2 linked regions of the Saccharomyces cerevisiae S288C genome follow. The protein of the gene in region 2 interacts with the protein of the main gene of each other region in a biochemical or structural test. Each region holds a gene or a part of one and is shown on either strand. Other genes may lie near its edges.

The links.
Region 1: the proteins of MCM10 (region 2) and MCM7 form a complex in vitro, tested with the Saccharomyces cerevisiae proteins (2 studies listed by BioGRID).

What each region holds. Positions count from the first base shown.
Region 1 is NC_001134.8:624,022-630,839, reverse strand, and holds MCM7 (DNA replication licensing factor MCM7), read right to left. Parts: upstream 5,069-6,818; coding exon 2,531-5,068; downstream 1-2,530. Other genes in the region: COS111 (Cos111p), read right to left, coding at 1-1,672; MIN7 (Min7p), read left to right, coding at 6,144-6,347; DER1 (derlin), read right to left, coding at 6,629-6,818. UniProt on the Saccharomyces cerevisiae protein: Acts as a component of the MCM2-7 complex (MCM complex) which is the putative replicative helicase essential for 'once per cell cycle' DNA replication initiation and elongation in eukaryotic cells.
Region 2 is NC_001141.2:58,306-66,177, forward strand, and holds MCM10 (Mcm10p), read right to left. Parts: upstream 4,424-7,872; coding exon 2,708-4,423; downstream 1-2,707. Other genes in the region: ESL1 (Esl1p), read right to left, coding at 1-2,389; MLP2 (Mlp2p), read right to left, coding at 4,723-7,872. UniProt on the Saccharomyces cerevisiae protein: Required for DNA synthesis. Required for entry into or completion of S phase. Involved in DNA replication and seems to participate in the activation of the pre-replication complex (pre-RC) and in transcription elongation.

The sequences.
Region 1 (6,818 bases), on a different chromosome or scaffold from region 2:
GACACAGGTTCAGCATATGTAAAATATAACCTAGGGGCAGATCTTTATAAGGAGCGTACTTTAAAAGAAATTTGTTGGCATACGGATGATGCGTACTAAATGGTTGTTCAATGCTAAATTTTAATGTCGAAGAACGATAATTGGATGGATGCCCCGAATCGTGCTTTAAAACTTTAAAGTCATCGTCAGACTTATCCTTCGAGTTCTTTAAATTAATCGTATTAGCTGTCCTTGCCTTTCTATTTCTTGAACTTAACCTCATTCTAAACCAGGAAGATGACGTAATGTCAGATATAGGTTTTGCTTTCTGAGGAGATGACCTTGTGGACTTCGCAGAAGCTTTTTTCAATGATCCAGCAGTGGAAACTCTTGACAGATTACTACCAGAAGAGATGTTACCATTGCTGGTATTAGACGTGGTTGAAGACAATGAGACATGGGAGGTGTTATAGATGGATGACATGATACTCGTCGTTATGGAAGCAACGGAACTATTGGAACGTTGTCTCCTTGTAGAGTGAACACCGGTGGAATTTCCAGAAGATGTAGAAGTGATAGAAGAAGAACGAGAAACCACTTTTTTCAGTTTAAAGCTGTTCAACAGAGGAGAGCTATAAAGGGGTTCATTTCTGTATCTCCAGTCTCTCCAACCAGCTAATGCCAAGTCTTCAACTTCACTGCCATTTGAAGCGTCGTCTTTGATTAATCCGCTATTGGCATCATCCTCGTTAGAAATGGTAGATGTTGGAGTAGCTGGAGGTAGATTCAAACTTGTGTTAGTAGATCTGCGGCGACGGCGTCTGTGACGCCTTGAGTGGCCATCATCGTCTAGGCCTTGAGAATCCTTCGAGTCTTGGCCTATAATTCCCGGCTTCAAGTGTGATAGGTCCAATACTTTCACGTATGCCCCGTTATCCGGATGTAATCTTAGTGAGGTGACAAACTGCGCCACTCTGTAAGTGGAAGTGAAGTAAGGTAGCCTATAAAGGACGATCTTTGTCGCCTTATAAAACTTCTTCGATACGTATAGACATCTTACGAGTGTCTTTTGATCACGACCTAACTCGAATTCAGAAAGTATTTTGGCAATTATTTCAACTGGTAAATCGTTGATATCGGCAAATTTGCCCCAAGCATGGTATTTTCTCTTCCTCAGCTTTTCAAATCTGGAATTTTCATGTTTACCAGAATGGGAAGTCTTCAGAGAAAATATAGAAAATGAGTCGGATGAAGCACCATGATCGTACAATTTATTCATAAATTTTTTTGAAGAGGTGGAGATTAAGGATTTATACTTTTTTTTAATCCTTGATTTCCTTGAATTCATCGTTATGATAGTTTCATTATCTAAAGATGTGACGTCGTCACTGCGTCTCTGACCTATGGAAGCCAAATCATCAGGAGCGCTGGATTGATTTTGATTGCTGAGTGGAGATTTGAACGTCGATAAGGGTGATTGACTCATTGATCTGGAGCAATTTGAGCCATGACGCTGTTTGCTCCTGGACTTTTGTGAGATAGATGACAGTTTACCAACTGTGGTAGAATTCTTACCAGCATTATTGCTACCACTGCCGTTACTATGATACAACTTATCGTAAACGGAAGTTCCGTAACGAGAATAGTTGTTAGAAACAATATTGACGTTTTGAAGTCTTGAAGCACTTGACATCAATACACTCGACCTTGTTTAGTGTACCTTTTTTTCTTTCTCCTTTTCCCCTCTTGCTTCGAGTGTCTATATAGTTCCTCCCCGCAAATATTCTTCAGCTAAAAATACTATCGTCCGGGATTTTCAAGAATAAAAAAATATCTTCAAATATAATCTAGTAAACGGAATAAAATAGGACTACCGTACTGAGCGGACAGGTTTGTAAAGGTTATATTAGTTTGAGAGTGGGACTATATATATATAGACTATATAAATATATATATATATATACTTATATTTTTGACAGTAGGGATGGAGATCGATGAATGTTGCCTTCACATGTTAATGAATGAAAAAAATTTTACTGTCTGCGGGTCCCCTAAAAGTCCTCTTGGCGATAACAGAATGGGTGCCGGCAGGTATCTCAAATTCGGATTATTATCAAGCGCTACGAATTATTCTGAGAACAATCTTTTCATTTTCTGGAAGAACTCCGCACGGTGTACTCTCTGGTATACTCAGGGGCTGACGGTACCCTGTAGCACGGCTCTCCACAGGCACATCTGAGCAATACTAGCTGGCCCTATTCCGCTTGAAGATAATTTTCCTTTCTCCGCAAAAAAAAAAAAACAAGAATTGGGCCGCGGTGCACGGACATGCGCAGTCATAATGTTAAGTCCGAAATGTGTGGGGTCTGTGGCTGGCAAAAGCGATGAATAATATTAGTAAAATTATAATAATACAGAATACATATCTTGAAAACTGGGCCTTGGAAGTAAGTTACAGAAGGTAAATTTGAATGTGCAGCTATATGGAAATGAAAAAAAGGGGGAAAAAGAATAAAGAATGAAGGCCCTGTTGCTTTTTTTTTTAGAACTTTCAAGCGTCTTGTAGATCGATATCAGAATCTTGGGCGCTCACATTAGCGGAAGCGGTCGTTTGTGGTGCGAGTTTAGGCGTGCTCACTAGTGAGTCTTCCTGGTCTGTGTCCATGGTACCGTCATCCACGAATTTCAAAGTGTTACCCTCATTAATTAAATGCCAGACGTTTAAGTAAGAATATTCTTGGATACAGTTGCTTAATTGTAGCATGGTAAACCCTCTTAGTCTTACAGTTTTCACAATATTTTCATATGATAGCGTGTTTTTACCAGTTTCTTGTAACATTTTCTTGATGATCGTAAAGATTTTCGTTGTGGGGCTTTCATCTTCTTTAGATTTGTTGGTTTCTTGATACAATGATTCCTTGGAGACTCGGACCAACCTCAAGGCTTCCTCCACATCATCTATATCCACCATATCAGCCAACCTTAACTTTGCTAGCGCTTGAGATAATCTTATAATACCTAGTAAAGTTCTCGGAGTGGCTTGACCAAAGGAAAATTTGGAATCCATTTCTCTCTTGGAGTCTTGTCTTAATCTGATGTAAGCTTGCACCACATAATCGTTTACAGCTTCACTCATCACTGGCCTCTTTGTCTTAGCATAGGCAATGTACTCTCTCATTTTAGAGGGTTCTACTGGAGTGAAGTCCAAATCCGGTTGTTTATTATGCATATGCACATATGTAACGTGCTCGGCTAATTTTTCGTCGTCATCTCTACTTGGTATATCTAACATTAAGAAGAGAATATCAAATCTGGATAGTAAAGCAGCTGGTAGATTTATATTGTCCAGAGGTGATAATCTAGGATTATATCTACCATACAACGGATTTGCTGCCGCTAAGATTGAGGTTCTGGCGTTCAAAGTTGTATTGATACCCGCCTTGGATATCGAAATTGTTTGTTGTTCCATAACTTCATGGATTGCCGTTCTGTCACTTTCATCCATCTTATCAAATTCATCGATACAACAAATACCGTTATCAGCGAGTACTAAGGCACCACCTTCTAGAATCATTTCATCCGTGACAGGATCTTTCATGACGGCAGCGGTCAGACCAACGCCTGAGGAACCCTTACCAGTGGTATACACTCCTCGAGGTGATATTTTGCAAATGGCCTTCAGCAGTTGAGATTTGGCAACACCGGGATCACCCATCAGACAAACATTGATATCACCTCTGATTTTCATACCGTCACCTACCCTTTTATCAACACCTCCGACAAGTAATAGCAGCAACGCTTTCTTTACGTCCAAGTTACCGTAGATTTCCGGTGCAATAGATTTTGCCAGCCTATTATAAACATCACCAGAGGTGATTAATTCCATAACTCTCTCTTCTACATCAGAAGTCAGACTGAAAGACGCAAATTTCTTCTTGTGTTGACGGACAAACTGTGCCTCTAAATAAGTTTCTGTCAGTAAGCCAGCTTTCAAAGCTTTGAAACCGGTGTAGGGCGCTGGCAAGAATATACCAGTTACATCGACGATATCACCAGGCGATAAAGATCTTACCAGCGTCCCGTTAACGTGGATATTTAGCGACCTAGGAATATGACCCACTGGCACTTGTTGTGATAACTCCTGAATTTTACATTCCTGAAAGGCACTAAATTTGGAAGCTCGTGTACTCATAAACAATTGACCCTTTGTTTGATTTTGGGAACATTCTTCGGAAGTACATTCTGACAACGGAGTAAAAGTACGAGAGTTGACCTCTTGGAAAACTTCGTACCCACATTGATCGCAGGTATATGCGATAACTTCCACAGCTGGTTTGACATCAGAAACTCTGGTGATAATACCTCTGACGGTAATCAATTGGCCTAGGAAGTCACCTTTAATCTGCCTAACAGATAATGGTTTAGAACTAATTGCTTTCTTCCTGTAACGACGAGCACAATTTTGCGATAGAGGCTTAAAATAAAGGAAATAGCGTCTAGTTAAATTAGGAGGAAATAACTCAGTTTCATCCTCGACAACTTCTCTTAACGCATCATTCATGGAAGAGGGTGGATCCATCGTGGTATCCATGAGGTTTTCGCTTCGGATCTCATTGGTCCTGTCCGAGAGCATTCTCTCATTCCTCAGTCTCCTTTGGTTTAAAATAACATCAAGAACGTCGTCCTTGTAGTCAATTTCTTTTGTTGGTAGCGGCATGTTGTTGTCAATGGCACGGCAAAATAATTCAGTGAAGTGATTAGCGTTTTGTTGAATGGCAGACACAAGGTCGTCTGCCTGTGTGCCCTGGAGAAACTTTTCGTTTTGATACTGTAGAATGTCATCTAAATCAATAATCACGGAATTCAGTTCCCTATTAGCCACTTTCTGTAGCATCGCCATGTACTTGGGCCCCTTTTCCAATAGATGTTGTTCGATATTCTCAGCATCCAAATTTTCATCTTCGTTCTCATTTCGTGTTGCATCAGAAGACAACGTATCCTGCTTGAAAGTCACCAAAAAATCGGTGATTTCATTAAAAAGATTATTATAGTCGACAGGAAGCTGAATTGATGGAAGTGCCGCACTCATAATCTGGTCTATCTGTATTGAGTTCTTCCTGCAAGATTCAAGCTAATCTAGGTAGTGATTATATTGCCTTTCTAAATGTAAGTTATTGGTAAAGACGTGTATGTAGCCTGCTACTGTAGTACATCTCGCTCTGGTCCTTTGCTTGTATCTCACTTTCGTGAAAAAAGAAGCAAACCGACTTAATGAATTGCATTTATTTTCCTTATAAGGAAATTTCCTTTCTGGGTAAATTAGTTAAGAAAAATTTTTTCGAGGCCGTGAAAAACGCGAAGGCTTATACAATGTATTATGAGTGAGTAATAAGTAGCATTCAAGGGTAGAAGGGGCCTCGACCTGTTATTGAGAAAATATACAAGAAGCGCTTATTATATTCGAGTAGCGGCTACGTTGACCTAGCAGGTATCCCGTGGGTAATAGTTTAAGTTATGACATTCACACCACTTTAGAATTTACTTACTCTTTTACCCTCTCTGTCTCTCGTAGGGTACATTTCTTTGTGCTTCTATTCTGTTGCTCTCAGACAAATTTGGAAGTTTTACAGTAAATTATTTTTACTCTTTTCCTTGTCGTCGTAATCAGTGAGGTATCCTGCCTGGTACCTTCCCCTCATTTTTGTACGAAGTATAAACAAAAGCACGGAAAAGGGGAAGCTAAGGAAAGTGAACACCTGTGCTTCGCATTGTTTGCTGCGATTAAAAAAGGTAATACAAAGGCAACTTTAAGCTTTTGTACCGTATCGGCCTATCATAATAGAGAGCCCGCGCACTTCCTAAGAAAGGCAGTTCGTTGCAACTCTCCGGTGGTTTCTTCGCCACTGCAAGGAAGACAATAGCTCGAGAAGGTCATTATTGTTGGAAATATGTTAATTACCATAGCAACAGCAAAATATTCCTAATTCTCAGAGTTATATAAGCAGGGTATATAATAGGCCATCTGCAAACGGACACCAAGTTTTTTTTCTTCTTTCCTCTCCTCTCCTCTCTTTTATATTCCACATTTATTCCCTGTGACAAGGCGAAAACCAAGAATTTTTTTGTAATATATAGGAAATATCACAAAAGATCGAGGACTAACAATGCTGGCCATGAAATCATTTTCACAAGTTTCTAAATCATACAAGGCAAGTGCTCCCAGTAAAAAGCTGACGACGTTGTTTTATGTTGCTTACATCACTCTGGGACTAACAACACCTTTCCTTCTACCGGCCCGAATGGCTTCTAAAGACACACACTACTACAAGGACGAATTTTGTTCTCAACGATCATACACCAGGTTTTAGAGTCTTTCGAAAATATGGGTTATCATTAGGGAGAAAATTACCGAGACTTTTTCGGCTACTTATTTATTCTGCATTTATACATTTGAGACAGGTTCTTCATATTATTTTTAGTTTGTGGGATTGCAGTTTTAACTGTACTGTTTTCACATCTTTCATTCATTCTAGTCAACGTTTCATTTATCCTTGGCCTATTTTATATGTAGTTATTTATGCTAAGTATGTTTGTTTATCAAGCGTTCACTTTTGTTATTGGTTTTTGGTAAATAAAAACGGCCTTTCCTTTAGGGTGTTTCAGTGTTGCGGAACCAGTCGTACGGAGATTTACACAAATCGATGCCATAAATCTTCCCTATTATATCATCCATGTAGTAAATTACGTGACCTGGCATGAAATTCATGGCAATTTCTAACCAGCTACGCTTATATACAAAATACATTACTGCATTCATGTAGATTGGGAATATAGATGGT
Region 2 (7,872 bases):
CAGAAGCTTGAAAGCTTACTTTCAACCCCAAATCGGGAAATTTCTTGGCAATACCTTTCAAAAGTAAAACTGCTCTCACACTGCGCATCCAGAATTTTTCACCAACTTCATCTTTTTCATCAAAGACTATACCATCAAGGGGAGAATCGAAAAAAAGATGGTCTTGAACGCCAGGAATTTCCATTACATCGCACTTCTTGATAGCGTCAAACCACAATGTTCCCCAACATTTCCAAATCTCCGGAAGATTTTCATTTTCGTTATAATATTCGATCAAATCATCCAGTTCCAATGAATAAAACTTTTCCAATTCTTTTTTCAAAAAAGGGTGTAAATTATCCAGCATGTAACAAACTAATACATTACCTAAGGTCACTATTGAATTCCAAGGCATTGTCCTTCTTAAAAAATGTATCCAGAATGCTACTACTTGCTTTGAATTTACCATTTCTAATTTTTTCAAAATAGCAACTATAAAATGTAACCACGTCAAAAAGTGCGGTAAGGCAACCACTAATGGTGCATGAAGAAATTTTGTTAATACATGTATACTGCATTGTATTGACGTCATGTTGATATGATTCAAAGAATCCAGCCAAATATTGAGATTGGTTGGGATATCATTGAAACTTGAATTTAAAGCATCGATATTCTGGAAGTAGCTTTCTGAACTTATTTGAACATCGAATGGATCTGTATAGGAAGATGTTTCTGTTGCTTCGGATCTCTTTTTTTCTCTTTTATCCTTCTTTAATTTCAAATACTTAGGCAACTGAAACAATAATGCAAATGGGTTTTTAGGATTGCCAAATCCGATTAGCTGTAAAAGCTGAGATTCAGCAAATGCAGGGGCATGCCTAAAATAATAACGCAATGATTCTGGATTTTGGCAAAACATGTCTTTTGTATCGAAAACGTCATTTCCGTTAAAATCTTTACCAAACTTGTCTTTGAAGTACATAAGCACAACATGCTGTAAATCCATATTCTCCAGGAAACTAGGTAATAGCATTACTTCAGTATGCTTTAAATAATCAATTAATTGAGAATTTCTATGGGCAATTTCATTATTGTTCGCACTACCAGAACTTCTATCTATGAATGCAGATTGATAGATATTTTCAATCAATAACTGTAACGTTTGCTGAGACGGAGTGAAGGGATCCTGACAAAAAACACTTTTTCCCAAGTTTACGAACGCTTCTAAACTGTTCTGTTGAACTGTGGCAATATGATAATATAGTTTTCCGCACCCATATATGTATTTCATTGATTCGGTATACCAATATTCGGCGCTTAGCCTCCAATCTATGAATCCTGATGGGTACAGCGATATTGCCATTCTAGACAAATCACCCAATCTTTGTCTCCACAAAATAGAATATTTCAACGGTATATCCTCAAGCATATTTGAGACAGAGATGAAAGCGTATATAATAAACTGACAACATACCTCTGGGTCCATAAAGTTCGAAAAGTTCTTTAGTACATCCAAGAAGGTTATTATACCATAAACCCACAATCTTTTTTCTATTCTGTAAATATCCAAAATTTCTTGGCCCATAATCAAGTCGTTTATAGGTTGTGTAGTTAATAATGCAGTGATGATGAAATTGATGTAATTTTTGATCAGTTCTGTGTTCAGTCTGTATATTGCCCACAAACTTTTTAGTTCTGTGGTTTGAGAGGTGGTTAAATAAAGGCATCTTTGTTGTAACTCGGTTTCCTGCACCACTATGATTTTATAAATTTCCTGCAGTTTTTTAATAAACGTCTGATTTGGCTGCGCCGAAGGAAGTTGCCTTATCATCGGCGGGGGTGAAGCAGCAACTACAGGAGCTCTTCTAATATCGGATAAAGTTACTTGGCTTTGGGGTTGCGAATTGCTATAAATACCATTTGAAGCGACTAATGGCTCGTCAGCTCTCATTTGTGGATTTGCGTTATCTTCATAAGTGTCTCTAGAAACAACCTTCATATTTCGAGCAAGCATAGTTCTATTCACATAATATGGAGATTTAGGAACATCCATTGTTGGAATAGAACTGGTCTTAACTTGTGGTGTCGATTCCATAACTTTGCGAGAGATGCTCGGTCTTCTAGATGCATCATCAGTTTTGGAGGGTGTGTTTTGTGCAGAGATCTGGCTATTAGTTATTCCATCTATAAATCCTTTCCCTACGGGATCTACAATTCCAGGCACCCTTCTTTTAGCGAACGACGACTCTGGTGTATCATTGTGCGACGAAGAACTATGTCGCTTTTGATGAAGAAATGCGGCGGAGGTCGGGCGCATATCGCTCACAATATGAGTGTGGTTGTTGTTGGATCTAGAATAATCAGTTTCATTACTAGGGTCATCATTCGCCGGCACCATTAGGTCAACCATATTATGCGATATCCGTGGTCTTGTTGTTATGTATTGAACCTAAAAATAACGTTAGATGCTGCCAAAGATCGGCCAAAAACGACTGTAAAGTGAAGTAAAGAGTACAGAATGAAGGATGCGCCCAAGAGGGAGATGTTTTCGGAGCGTTTTGTGTCTCACAAGATGTTCTCTTCTGTTCTTTCTCACTTTAAGGATTGATTCCCTATATTGCAACCAAAATCACTCAATTTTTCATCATAATTTTTCAATCATTACCCGCGCCATTGTCCATCAAAAGTAATACCATTTTGGGGCCCTGAAAAGCACACCAATACTTATTTATATTATCTCAAGATCGCTGGCACTACCGTCAGAAGTTTCTTTAGTTTCCTTGGATCCGAAATGTTTTTGCCAAACTTCTTCGCGATGGCTTCTTTTCTTGAACCATTCGTTCTTTGAAGGTGCGAGAATGACTTTTTCCTTCTTGTAATGCAAGAGATCGTTTATAACAGTTTTTTTTTTACCGAGTAAGTTGTTCTTAGGTTCGCTCCCTGATACAGAAGACTTGAGTACTTGGGAAATTTTTCCATGAGTGGGATCGAATCCTAGGCGTTGGATAAGCCCTGTCTGGAGGGCACTTTCTGTGGTTCGTTTCATTTTCTGTCGCTCTCCGACGCTCTTATCTTCTAATCCGCTGGATTCCCTCCTTCTCATAATTTTGCCTAGTTCGCGGCTCAGTGCTGTCGATTTCTTAGTTTCTATTATTTTCCTTCTTTTATTGTCTAAGTTTGCCAGCATATCTGGATTCTGAAATTTCTCGTCGAAAAATGCTTTGGCAGAATTACTATTCGTAAAATTGTGAGAGCTCTTTTTAAGTCTTTCCTCCTCTTCTGACAGGCGCTTACGAGTACCTTTGATTATATTAAACCCGTTTTCCCCTTTGGCCTTATATAGGCTTGGTTGAGAGTCCACTTTCGTAGGCGCGCCCAAGGCGTACCCACCATTTAATTCAATTCTTTTAGCACTTGTTCCACGAAATTGCACTTCTCTATGGTAATCGCAACACTTATGAAGAGATATGTTAATGGGAGAGCCACATTTTTTGTGAGTCTTTTTATTCACTATGGGACACCAACCTAAATCTCTACTTGAACCTATCTCCAGGATACATTTGAAGTCATGACTAATTCGAAGGTTGAAGGATTTGATAAAATTTCCTCGCCCTGAGGGTCTCCATGGTAGTACTTCTGGGTTTAATATTGCTATCACATCACCCAGGCGAAGATTATAATATCTTTCTACACCCTTTTTCCCGAAGATATAAACATCTAGTGTATGCTGAAAGTCCGTTATGGTGAACATGAAGAATTTGACTGGCTTTTCAGATGATGTAAATTTGATGTCCGATTTGTGGCTAATGAGGCCTACGGTGGCCCAGTTGGCGTATTCAGGCTCTTGAAATTTAGGTGGGCGAATTTTAGCAAAAAGTTTGCCCAACCGAAGGATTTTGATCTCATGCAAAGCCCGTTTTAAGTCATCTTCAGGTATGTACCTCTTTTTAACCCAAAGATTTGAAAAGCTTTCTAATTCGTTTGTGATTATCGGCACATATTTCTTCTCATCGGTACTGAACGTATGTACTCTTGCATTCATCATGCTTTCAAACTTGGCAATTTGTTTATCTTCGTTCTTCTTTGCGTTTTGAAATTTCTCCATAAAGTATGTGGTTGTACTAGCTGGTGGTTTTGGTTGCTGCTGTAATTGAGATAACCTTACTTCATTAATATTCGAACCTTCGAATTTTGTGCCTTGTTGTGTAGCATTATGAGACCCCACTTTCACACGGTTTTTGGTAGGAGATTGAGGTACCTCGATGGCTTCAAAATTAGGATCCTGGGGTTTCTTAAATTCTTGCTTTCTTTTTAATCGTTCCACTAAGGCCTGCCTCTTTCGTTCCATAAATTCAAGTTCTCTCGCGATGGCTTGCTCATCCTCTTCATCAGAAGTAATATTATTGTACGGATCAACCGCTAAAATTTCACGAGGATCATTCATTTCTCCACGAACCAAGTGCTTAATGTGCGTTGAAAATGTGAGGTTGAATTGACAAACTTACGTTCCTTTATCTTCGATGGCCTATAAAGTTGATATTTCTTAGTGGTGTTAGAAAAGGTGGGTTTGCGCATCCAAGAAACCCGCGTGAAAAAAAATGGCAAATAAACCCAAAATTTGTTCATACTTAACTACTAGTACGGATGTGTCATAAATCACTTTATGTCCTCTGTAATGACATTAGTGACATTTAAAATATGTAGATGTTTCATATTTATATAATTACATTGTTTAATATTACATCACTCGTTGGAAGCTTGATCATTTGCTGGACTCTCTTTAACCTTTTTGGTGTCTGGATCAGAAGATGTACCGCTCTCAATTGGCCGTTTAGATGTACTTCCAATTTCTGTTATTTTTGCTCCATCGGTGCTATTGTTAGTTAGATCGGTTACGTTGGAAAAGTTAATCGCCGCTTTGACTGCAACTTCAGGTTGAATATTGAGTGTACGTAGGGGGGCATTCGTATTGATATTAGATTGGGATGCTGTGAATGGGTTCTGAAAACTTTGAAGAGATGATGTATTAGAGGAGAAGAATGGCTTACCAAAACTAAAGGTTGGAATGGCCTTGTTACCAGCAGCGCTACTATCCACGATATTATTTTCTTTATTTGTAACCATTGACTGGCTGTCATTGAAGGAAACGTCATTCTTCACATTCTTCAATTGTTCTTGAGGTTTAAGGTTTTTTTGATTTATAAAGCCAGCGACAGCCGACGGCCTCTCAGAATTCCCCTTCGATGGACTGTTCCATAATTCTTCTTCGGCATCTTCCCCGCTACCTTTGTTATCAAGAAACGTTAAGCTTCCCGCGTTTTCTTTCAATTTCTTTCGAAATTCTTCTTCTAATTCTTCTTTACGCTTACTAATGATCTTTTGTATCCTTTCCTCGCTTGGTAACCTTATTCTTTTCTTTAAATTCTCTTCTGCTTCCTTAATTCTCCTTAACGTTTCATCTTCATATTCCTTTAGCCATTCCTTTTTCAATGTTTCGATATCTTTACTGTATTCTGCTTCTGAGCTTGTACTCTTATTTAAGGTCTCTTGTAATTTTTTTTCAAATTCCTTCGTTCTTTCGTCAATAATTCTGTCCTTTTCTTTCTCCATGTTAACTTTCAATTTCTCAAATGCATCAGATGAGCTATTCGCAGTTTTGAAAATTTGTAACTCCTTTTTGAGTGATTCAATTTCCTCCATTAATGTCCGATAAGTGTCCTTTTCGTGATCTCTCGAGACGTCTTCTGATTGGAGTTCATGTGCTTTGAGCTTCGTATCTAGATCAATAACTTTAGCGTTTTCAAAGTGTAGATCTTGTTCTAATTTGTCTTTAATTGCTTTTAATTCGTTGAGTTCGTTAGTTAAAGCAGCTTGTTGTTTCTTAGATGCGTCCAATTTTTCATGAGCCTGCTTCTTTAGCCTATTGAATTTATTTTCCAAGTCAGCGTTTGCGTTCTCAGCGCTTGAAAGTTTTCCCTTCAAATCACTAATCTCATTAGTTAGCTTTTCAATGTCTTTTTTTTGGGCATCTTTTTGTTGTTGAGATAAGTCCTGGTACCTCTGTTTACATTGCTCCATTTCACTTTCATATACTAAAATTTTGTTAGAATTTATCGAAACTTGTTCTTTTGTTTGTATGAGATCACGCTGTAATCGAGAAATTTCTTCTTGCCTATCATTTAATTGTTTATAAATTTCCCTGTTTTTTTCGGTTACGTTTTTGAGACTCTTTTGTAAGATGGCATTATTCTCTTTTAAAATGTTAACTTGAGTAACTTCTTTCGTGATATCCTTGAATTCGTCAATAATAACTGCAGAGCATTGGTATTCCTTCTCCGATAAAGTCTGGGTTCGTTGCAGGTCATTTATCGTTTTTTCTAAACTATCGTTCTTTTGTTTAACGAATGCCAATTCTCTCTTACAGGTGGTTAACTTCGTCTCTAAAGAATTTCTTTCATGACGTAAGTTTGAAAACAAAGAAACTAGCTTCAAATGATCTTTATCGCCATTATTTGCTGCTGTGTCATCAACCTTTTCAATCAATACCGAATTTTCAACACGCAAGGATTCCGTCTGTTCAATATTAGATATCAATTCTCTTTCATAATCAGCCTTTTCCTCCATCCATTTCCTTTCATGTTTATCGAGTAAATCCTGAGCGCTATACAATGAGGATTTGGTTTTTGTTAATTCTGCTTGGCAATCAGCCGCATCCTTTTCAAGGCGGATAACCAATTCAGATAGATCTTTATTTTCCTTCATTGTGGACTGATATTGGGACATTTCTTTTTTTTTGCACAGTTGGACAATCGTACTCATTTTTTCAATTTTTTCTATCATTTTTTGGATCCTTTCTACCTCATTCCTCAACTTTTCTGATTGTTGAACGAAATGCAATGCACCTTCTTTTAGTTTCGGTTGCAAAGCTCTTATTTCACCGAGCTCTCCGCGTAAACGAGATAGATCTTCTTCCCTCGCCCATTTTTCCTTCTTCTCTAGTTCAATCTTAGCATCGTAATTTTCTTTGGTTTTTGCTAGTTCATTTTTCAATTCTATTAGCGCATTTTCATTCGATGATATAATTTCTTCATAAGCCTGTATCTGTGAGTTTGCATCCTTCAATTGAACTTGGATTTGCTCTAATTCTTTTCTCAAAGTCGGTTCTAACGTGCTTGCATCACTATTTTGATCCAAGAATTTATATTGGAATTTGGTTTTTCTTAGTTCCTTATCCAGGTTCTCTATTTCTGATGAAAGTTTTTCAATCGTTGTTTCCTTATTTGATAATTCAGTTAGTAAGGACTTCATTTTCATTTCTGTATCATCGATGGTATTTTGAGCCCATTTGAGTTGCGAATCCTTGCATGAGCGTATCGATTCTATTTCTTGTATCTTTGATTGTAAGTCGGAACGTAATCTTTCCAAATTGTTTTCCAATTCTTTGATTTTGGCTTTGTATTGGCCCTCTTTCGAGCTAAAATCCATTTTATTTTCATTATGACTGATTTCAGACTCCTTTAGTCTCATCTGCAATTCTTTTTTTTCTTTGCAGCATTGTTCGAAATCTCTAGTTAAAGATTCTTTCGTGGGTATAAAGCTGGCAGTTTCCTTTTTCAGTTTGGAAATCTCGTACTCCAAAGATTTGATTTTGATCCTAGACTGTGACAGTTCAGTTGAGGCTCTTTCTTTCTCAACATGTATGTATGATGGAACCCATGATTTTTGTTTCTCGAGTTCAGCTTTTAGGTGGTCTATTGCTTCCTCTAACATACGTTCTTTTTCCTTTGCCAAACCCTTGAAATTTTCAAAATCCTCTAAAGTTGTTTTTTTTTTGCATTGTGATTTCTTATAAATTAACAACTCTTTTCTTAAATTCTGAATAATAGCAGAGTT